Coturnix japonica: one gene and its partner. The protein of the gene in region 2 interacts with the protein of the main gene of each other region in a pairwise test. Links are inferred from orthologs where the notes say so. Each region holds a gene or a part of one and is shown on either strand. Other genes may lie near its edges.

Region 1 (4,447 bases), on a different chromosome or scaffold from region 2:
GGAGAAAGAAGGATGAGGCACCTCTGGGGCAAGAAACGAGCTGTGTTTTTCTAGCTGGGAAAGTGGAAGAGCTGGAGCTGCATCTCATCCAGCGGGCAGAATGCAGCCCAGCATCACTTTGTGCACTTGGGATGTTGTTGCAGCAAAGCTAATGCCTCAGTCACACTGCAGCAGGCGAGTCTTACCAGGCAGGAGAAAAAGGATTAAAGAGCTTTTGAAAATAAGGCAGATAATGGAAGAAAATCTCCCCATATAATAACAAAATCTTTCGACTGAGGAACAGCCAGGCAAGCAGCGAGCACTGAGCGCAGAGCGATAAGCAGACACTGCTGGGGAACACAAAACACGGGGATTCTGTGCCTGGCTAAGCACAAAGGGAGATGGAATGGATGCACCCGGGCTCACGTTTCCTTGGGGAGAGAGAAGGAGCATCGTCCCTGTGCTGTGCCAGAGCAAGGAATCAATTAATGAGGGCGTCTGAAGGCAGTATTCCAGAGCCAGATAGGAGCCATCCCACGTTTCGCTAAGAGATGAAAGGACCAGAGCGGAATGATGTGAAATCATTTTAAGTACAAAAGGACTAGGAGACAAATTATTTCCTCCATTAAAAATAGATAAATAAAATTAAAAGAACTCTGGTGGGAATGGGCTGCAGAGACACGAGAAGTGACTTCACTTTTAAGGTTGTTTTGAGGACTGTACTTGGGACCAACATTCTTGTAAGGCGGCGTCACAAAGATCACATTCAGCCCTCAGATTTAGCACAGTAACTCCCTATAGGGTGACTGATTTGCCTCTGAAAAATGTCAAGAAAAACACGCAGCGATTTTTGCCGAGGGTTATACTCATGAGGTCTGTAAGGGCAAAGAGAGTCCTTTTGTGATGAGCACAGAACGCATAGCACAGTGAGTGCCAAGCCTTGACCACTGTTTCTAGGCTTCATCCTAGTGAGCCGTAATAAAAACTGCCTTTTTTAATTGTTGCTTTGCTTTCTTCGCAACTAAACAGATGACATGGAGTGATTCAGCCTTTTGGCTATGGGAATCAGATAATAATATACAATTTAAACAGCAGGGAACTGAGGAACAAAGCTGCTATTATGTGATAGCAGCCTGTGCTGGACAACCTGGAACTAATGCAGCACTCGGCCATCTTTTGGGCATTGAATACACTGGATATCCAAATTCCTGCTATCATCTATGAATTCAGATCCTGTCTCAGCAAAAGACTCGAGCAGACCTCAGCCACATGAGCCTCACAAGTGTGATGTAAACCCAGAGACAGACCTATCCAGGATGATAAAGGGCTGCAAGAGGGGGAAAGTGGGCTTGGAACAAACTGAATATGGAAAACATTACTGGTGGCGAGCCAGACCGCAGCAGCAAGGCAGCATGATATACATGAAACACTGAGAACTTTGCATTTCAACGTGAAATGTTTCAGCTTAGACCCCAGAGAATCCTTTTATGGAGCTTTTCATAAGATCCACTGGAAAGCTGTAAAGTCAACACAGCCACGTTTCAATCAGCCTGCAGCACATCACAGCACCCAGTCGCCTTCTGGTGCTAAGGGAGGCAGACTGAAAGGCACCTTGGGGCTACAGACTCACTGCAGAGCTGCTGAATGAGCCCCATCCTACATCTTCACTGCTGTTCAGGCTGATCCTGTGCCATGGGATAGCTCCAGATCCCGTCTGACACTCTGCAAGCACACAGGAACAGCCAGAAACCCTCTACTTCTGCATTAAGGATTTGCAGGTTCATCCATCTGCCTTAACAACCTAAATAAATAATGCTGCTGCAGCCTTCATGATTTTCAGTGCAACATAAAGTTGGTAAATGTATTTATTTTAACGTAAGCCTTTATACAAAGCGGCTGTAAAGGAGCTGCCTCAGATCCAGTCGTAATTTCACAGAAACCAGCAGCAAAATGGAACCTTTTAGATGGCAGCAGCTGCCTCTCCTCATTACTGCTCTATTCACTTTTATCCCTGTGGCACTGGGAACCTCAGTCACAGCTGGGGACTCCGCCGTGCTCCGTGCCGTACAAACACAGAACAAAGGCAATCCCCTGCCTTCAGAGGGCTGCGAGATAATGCTGGAGGGACAGAAAAAGAGGAGGAATCCCAAGAGGGGAGGCAGCGCTATCAGTCAGCGTGACTGATAGAACTGAAACTTGCCAGCTTTTCTGGGGACGCTGTTAAAAAGGAGGGCGAGGAAGGACGGGGAAAACAATCAGGACAGAGGAGAGAACACACAGCTCACGTGCAGGGCTGGTGCGGGGCTGTGCACAGAGCGGGACCGGGACGGCAGCACGGGGCTGCGGGGAGGAGCCGGCGGGGAGGGCTGGGCCGGCTCAGCAGCTCCTGCCTCCGCACCGTGCCCGGTAGGAGCGCTGCTCTGCGCTGCTCTGCCCGGTTCGAGCGTTACCGGCCGAACGCAAACGCGTTCAGTCCTGCTATGCCGTGCAGCGGGGCCGCTGTACAGCAGCGTACCGCACGTTTTGCTATCGGCAGCTCGGGGGAAAACGCTTGCGAAGAAGCTGGTTGTAATTACAGCCGCTTCACCGCCCGAAACGGAGCGATGCGGCAAAGCACGCCGAGGGCGGCCCGCAATGCGGCACTGCGGGATGGGATGGGATGGGCTCCACGCCGCCGCTCGGCTCCGCTCAGACCCGGACACACCGACCGACCCCGGACACACACACACACACACACACCGCCCCCCGGTGACACACCGCCCCCCGCCCCGCTCCTACCTGCCGCCCCGCCGCACCCCGGCTGCCGGCGCTCCCGCCGCCATCTCATACCTGCCGCCCCGCCTCCCCATTGGCCCACCGCGCCACCCCGCGGTCCCGCCCCTCCCGACCTGCCCGTCGCTATTGGCTGGAGGCGTTACGGCCTCGCTACCATTGGTCGGTTCGAACGGACCGCAGGAGATGAAGGGCAGCGGGCACACATGGCTCCTGCTGGCGGTGTATAGAGCCGAGCGCTGCTGGAGCTGCCTGTCCTGACACAAGGCTGACAGCTGCCTTATGGCTGCACCGGGGCACGGCACAGCCTCAAGGGGCACACAGTGACCCCTTAGGGAGAGCAGGATACGGGCAGATCCCCAGCCAAGTGCAACGGCTCCTCCTCAGCCCCGAGCTTTTAAAGGGATCTTGGAAATAAATGACCAAAGAAAAAGAAGCAGAGAACCACAAAGTGGATTTGCAGCCTGCAGTAAGAGGCTGAACAAGCACAATCCCTTTAGCTTATTAGGAGACTGAAAAGCGTTGCAGTTCCAGCATGTAAGCTACCGTGATATGAAATGACAAAGGACTAAAGGCTTTTTAATACAAAAGAGGAAGGAAGATACGTTCACAAACACATACTCTGTACTGTGAGCCATGGGACATTGGACTCAGAGCAGAAACAGCTGCTCATCCAACCTGGGCAGCTATAGATCCAGGATTACTTGTGCTTCTGGGAGGTGGTCACAGCAAAGGCTCCATCTCAGCTCTCGCAGGTAAGAGAAAAGCCCTTGCAAGGCATGACTGAGATGGGCAAAGCAGATGCAGAGCCAGTGAGAGCCACAGGACAGGCACCACAGAAGGCTCCTACTCCATCCCCTCCATCCCAGGACCTGCTGCACTGCAGGGGACACGCTGTGTGAGGTGCTTGCAGGAAAGAAAGGAGGATTCCAGGCTGGATATTAACAGGAGATGTTTGTCACACGTTTATTCTCACACACACACACACACACCTGTAGCAGTCACCCCATCGCCTTCCTTTAGGCACAGGAGGACAGGGCTTGGGCCAGGAGTCCACAGGGGTCGCTTCCTCAGGAGGCTGCACTCACAAAGTCCCTGTCCTCCAGAGCCTGAATGCCTCAGGTTATCACCAGTCCTGTCCTCAGGCAGGTGGATGCACAGAGCACCACCCACAGCTCCTCAAGGGCGACGCTCCTTCATCCGGTTCTTGCGGCCAGCCTTGGCCCCTCGCTGGGCACCCTTCATGAGGCCCTTGAACTGGCCCTGCATTTTTGCCTGCTTCCTGGAGGGAGGAAGGAGCAGGGAGACAGATTAACATGGGTACAAGGCACAGACAGCCCCTGGCACAGGCCTGTGCAATGTGGCTGCAAGGAGCAGCACAGAGGCTGGCAGGGAGCCCCCTCAGACCACAAGAAATGGTAACAACAATGTGCAGGACCAGACCCAGGATATCCCCCCCTCCCTATACCATGCCCTTCCTGCTCAGTCCCACCTTTTGTTGAGTTTAGCTCTGTTCAGGGGGATGTAGGCATAGGGGTCGAGCTGGCCCTTCTTCTTCACATCACCTTTCCCTTTCTGTAGGAGATACCAAGATGAAGCATAAAGGGAGATGTGAGTGTCCCATTCTGGACAGCCCTGGTACAGTCACACCAAGGACTATGCTGCAGTGGGGTGCCAGCTGAGCACGTGGCTCCCA
Region 2 (4,255 bases):
ACCCATAAACTGAATTATAGAACTGCTCAGGTTGGAAATGACCTTCAAGATCATCAAGTCCAACTGCAACCAAGCCATACTACCCTAAAGAACAAACACAAGTCACCACTGCTCTTAATGTAATTCAAGATTCAAGTCTAACCATTAATGTCATTAAGCCTATAAAACAGAAACTAGATAATAGGTCAATGTCATTTAAATTGTATGACAACACATACATTCCATAAAGAAGAAAAAAATTGCCAGTCTAGGGCACATCTTACTTGAATTGAGAAGAATCCACTGTCATCCATGTTTACAGAAGGCTGCTGCTCAGCATATGAGGTTGGAGGAAGGAAAGTTAAAAGTTGTGTCAGCATAAAAGTTCAGAAAGAATTTCACTTAAAAATAATAATAATAATAATATGACTGTACATACATAAAACAACAATGAAATATATTTTACTCTGTATGCTGATTACAACACCAACATTTGCATTTTTGTTAATAACTCAAACTTTTAAGCTGCAAATACTTACTGCTTAAAGGACAGACATGTACAGGGAATTCTGTTACCGTCTCTACCCCTGGCTTACTAAAACAAACAGTCAATCTCTTAGTCTTCTCCTTGCCATGCCTAACCATCTTACCCTTAAGATGAGGAGATAAGGTAACACGGCCCCCTGTAGAAGCACTATAAAGCTGTACAAATAACACTAAAAACCTCAAACCTGAAATGCCTGAATGAAAATATCAGCAAACTTCCAAAACATCAGCACTAGAAAATGAATCTTCTGTAATTATGCAGGCATAGCAGGCCTTTGCTATACAATATTAGATTTTAAGAAGACATCATGCAACGTCAAGTTAAGATTTTACCTGTAAAAATGTTCTATATTCTTCGCTAGACACTCCTCCCTCTGCCATTCTCATTCTTTCTTCCTCATCCAACTGCTGTGCAATGGAGGATAGCTCAACCGGACTGAAGTACTCTCCTTGTAGCAAATTATTCAGACAGTGTTGAGCACATAATGAGCCTTCTTGCTAATATTAGGAAAGGAAAAAAACACCACTATGTCAAAAGCAATAACATATAGATGTTAATGACGCACTCTGCAGAAACATTCAATGATTTCATTCCAGCCCCCACTTCCCAGAATACTGTATTTTTTTCCATTTTTATTACAGTGTGAGCTGTAGAATACATTCCTATGTTCCATTAATCTGACGATGGAAAAGAAAACAAACATATTTCCTGGAAGAAAATAAATTCTAAGTGAAAATGTTTTGGGAAACAGGGTAAAAATCACCTACAGTTTGTCCAAGTCACACAAGTACTTTGCAACCATCAGGAGAATCGATTCCGCTCCCTTCAAATCATCACTGTATGAAATAAGAAACTCATTCTTTTCTTTTTTAAATCTCTAATTCCCATTAACAAATATTCTCCACAAGGGACACTCTTTTTCTTTGTTAAACTTGTGTTCCCTATGAGGTTTGGGAAATATCTGCTTTCCACATGTGGCTAAAGAAAAACAGAGCATTGAGACTTTGCAAAAAGAGGAATTACAGTTTCCCATGAAAAACAATCCCTCTCTAAAAAATAACAGGCGAGTTAGTTAACCTACGAGTGCAAGACAAGTTTAACATCAGCTATAAAAAGCAGCTTTCCTCTTTGCATCAATGCTTGTTTATATTAACATTAAGAATGTGCATTAGGACAAAGGTGTTGGAAACAAAACAAAATTGTCAAAGAATTAAAACTCCACAGAAAGTAAAGAATACAAGAGTGTGCCTTGTAAGAATGTTATTTAAATGTCCACTCTTCCATCATACAAGTCAGGTGCACAAATCTCCCTTGGTCTCCCTCACAGCAGGATCCCTGAAACTTTATAGATTACAATCCCTTCTGAAGGTACCACCACTCAACTGAATATTGAGTTCAAGCTGGACAGGCTGTACAGCCTAAGTACAATGGAATTCAAAAGTCTCATCTTTCACAGCTTCTCCAGCTTGTGTTTATCCCACAAAAAGAAACTCCAGACTAAACAGCAACTCCTGCCCTGCTGGAAGCACGTTCCTGCTGCTGGCCCCATGACACAGCTGAGACCTGCCAATGGTCACAGATTGTTTCCACCAGAAGCATATGAAATAATTAGGAACAAATCAAGCCTGGGATAACTTTGTTAAAATGAGTCATGTTACAAGTTTAGGCTCTAATTTCTTTGAAAGGGCCCTTCTGTACTGATGTAATAACTTATTAAAAGCAACAACAAAAACCCACTGAACTGTACAGCTAACTCTATTTATTTGTTAACTAAACCAACTACTACGCATAAGAACAACGGACAGAAACCAGTATCACCTAAACAGATCCCACAAAACAATACAAAAATATCAGCAAAGCTGCAGAGTGACCGGCAAAGCAGATAAAGGGCACTGTAGTGTAACAACAGAGGTCGCAGGCAGCTGCTACGTGTGAGCCCTGACACAGCACAGCAGTTTCCAGAAGCATTTGTTCTCCCAACAGGAAGCTCAGCTCAGCTCAGCACTCGATGCCGTCCCTCACAGCGCCGCACACCCACAGCGGGCAGATTTGGTGTCCGAGCTCACGGAACCCGCCCCACGTACCGCTGCTCGCCTTCCTGCTCGGCCACAGACGAGAAGCAGCCCCGCCGGAGATGGGGCAGGGGAACAGGGCAGCCCCAGAGCAGCGCAAGGCCGGGAGATACAACTGCCGCCTCCCCAGAGCGCAGCCCCGCTCCCGCCCCACAACACCTCACTCACCCGCTCGTGGAAGATCGACTCCATGTTTATTATCAACGGCACGGCCTCCGCCTCACATGACCCGCGCAGCCAATCGCGGCTCGCCTCGCCGTGCCGCAGCAGCGCCCCCTGGCGGCGGGAGGTCCGGGCAGCTCGGCAGCACGACGCGCTTGCGCAGTTCTGGAGCAGCCGGAAACGTGCGGTCCTTCCTTCCGTGTGGCGGTGAGTTAATAAAGCGCCATGTGTGAGGTACCGCCTCGGTTAGCTCATAAACCACCTATAAACGCATTAATTCCACACCACACAGACTAAGAAAAAAGGAAATTATTTTTGCATAGTTTTTTTTTTTTTTTCTTTATTACATGACGTCTTTTCTCCCCCAACTCCAGAGCGGAACCTCTGGGGGCAGATATTTCTCAATTCCATGGGCTTCACAGAATCAAAACAGCTTTATAATAGATCACCTTCCATAAAGTAACAATAGGAATTAAAGTAGCAGTGACAAACTGTAGGTGTTCTATTCTGTAGCTTGGTAGGGTCTCAGGAGAAAAAACATAACCATATTGTTTCAATGCATGAGATCAGGTGATGAACAGAGCAGAAAGTTTCCCCCATTCATTAGCAGCCTTTATTTCCAGGTCTTTTCTTCGCCGGGTCTCAGCTCCCTGTGTGGAAAGAAAACAAAGGGTGGAGGCTAAAATTAGGATAAATGGTGTGGGATAATTAACAAGCATTTAAAATGATTCTAGAATCACAGAATCACACAGAATCACAGGATGACCCGGGTTGGAAGGGACCTCAAGGATCATGTAGTTCCAACCCCCCTGCCTGGCAGGGCCACCAAACATACACATTTACTAGATCAGGTTGCCCAGGGCCCCATCCAACCTGGTCTTGAACACCTCCAAGGACGGGGCATCCACAACCTCCCTGGGCAGCCTGTTCCAGGGCCTAACCACTCTCCTAGTGAAGAACTTCCCCCTAACATCCAACCTAAATCTTCCCTCTTTTAACTTAAAACCATTTCCCCATGTCCTGCTATTATCAGCCTTTTCGAAGAGTTTACTCCCCTCCTGGGAGTAAGTTCCCTTCAGGTACTGAAAGGCTGCAATGAGGTCACCCCGCAACCTTCTCTTCTCCAGGCTGAACAAACCCAACTCCCTCAGCCTGTCCTCATAGGGGAGGTGCTTCAGCCCCCGCCCTCCTAAACTTTTACTTTACGACCCAAAGCTTCAAAGGATTGAGTCCTACCATTAATTATAAATAAACCTCTGCTGAGTTAACAGATGGTGTTTCTTACATGAGACCCCAAAGGCAAAAATCTAACTCCTTCCAATCCAAAAATCCATTGCTTTAGTGGGAAGACAAATAGAGGCGAAAGTGGAAAGCGCTTAGGAGATATGGTTGAGTGGTTTGTTGTAAAGAAGTACTTTTAAAAGTCTATCTGGGAAAGCAACCTATAATACATATAATGTTAAAAGGCAGGACCAAGCAGACCTCCTGTACAATA

The links. The genes of interacting proteins can lie anywhere in the genome.
Region 1: the proteins of ATXN3 (region 2) and ARHGAP19 interact in binary tests that used the Homo sapiens proteins (3 or more experiments, as listed by UniProt). The link is inferred for Coturnix japonica from reciprocal best matches to the Homo sapiens genes ATXN3 and ARHGAP19.

Annotation. Positions count from the first base shown.
Region 1 is NC_029521.1:19,516,511-19,520,957, reverse strand, and holds the start of ARHGAP19 (rho GTPase-activating protein 19), read right to left. Parts: upstream 2,848-4,447; 5' UTR 2,829-2,847; coding exon 2,758-2,828; intron 1-2,757. Other genes in the region: RRP12 (RRP12-like protein), read right to left, coding at 3,931-4,033, 4,244-4,326. UniProt on the Homo sapiens protein: GTPase activator for the Rho-type GTPases by converting them to an inactive GDP-bound state.
Region 2 is NC_029520.1:40,426,370-40,430,624, forward strand, and holds the start of ATXN3 (ataxin-3), read right to left. Parts: upstream 2,879-4,255; 5' UTR 2,791-2,878; coding exon 2,767-2,790; intron 2,632-2,766; exon of another isoform or gene 2,611-2,631; intron 1,024-2,610; coding exon 859-1,023; intron 309-858; coding exon 264-308; intron 1-263. Other genes in the region: NDUFB1 (NADH dehydrogenase [ubiquinone] 1 beta subcomplex subunit 1), read right to left, coding at 3,374-3,410, 4,243-4,255. UniProt on the Homo sapiens protein: Deubiquitinating enzyme involved in protein homeostasis maintenance, transcription, cytoskeleton regulation, myogenesis and degradation of misfolded chaperone substrates.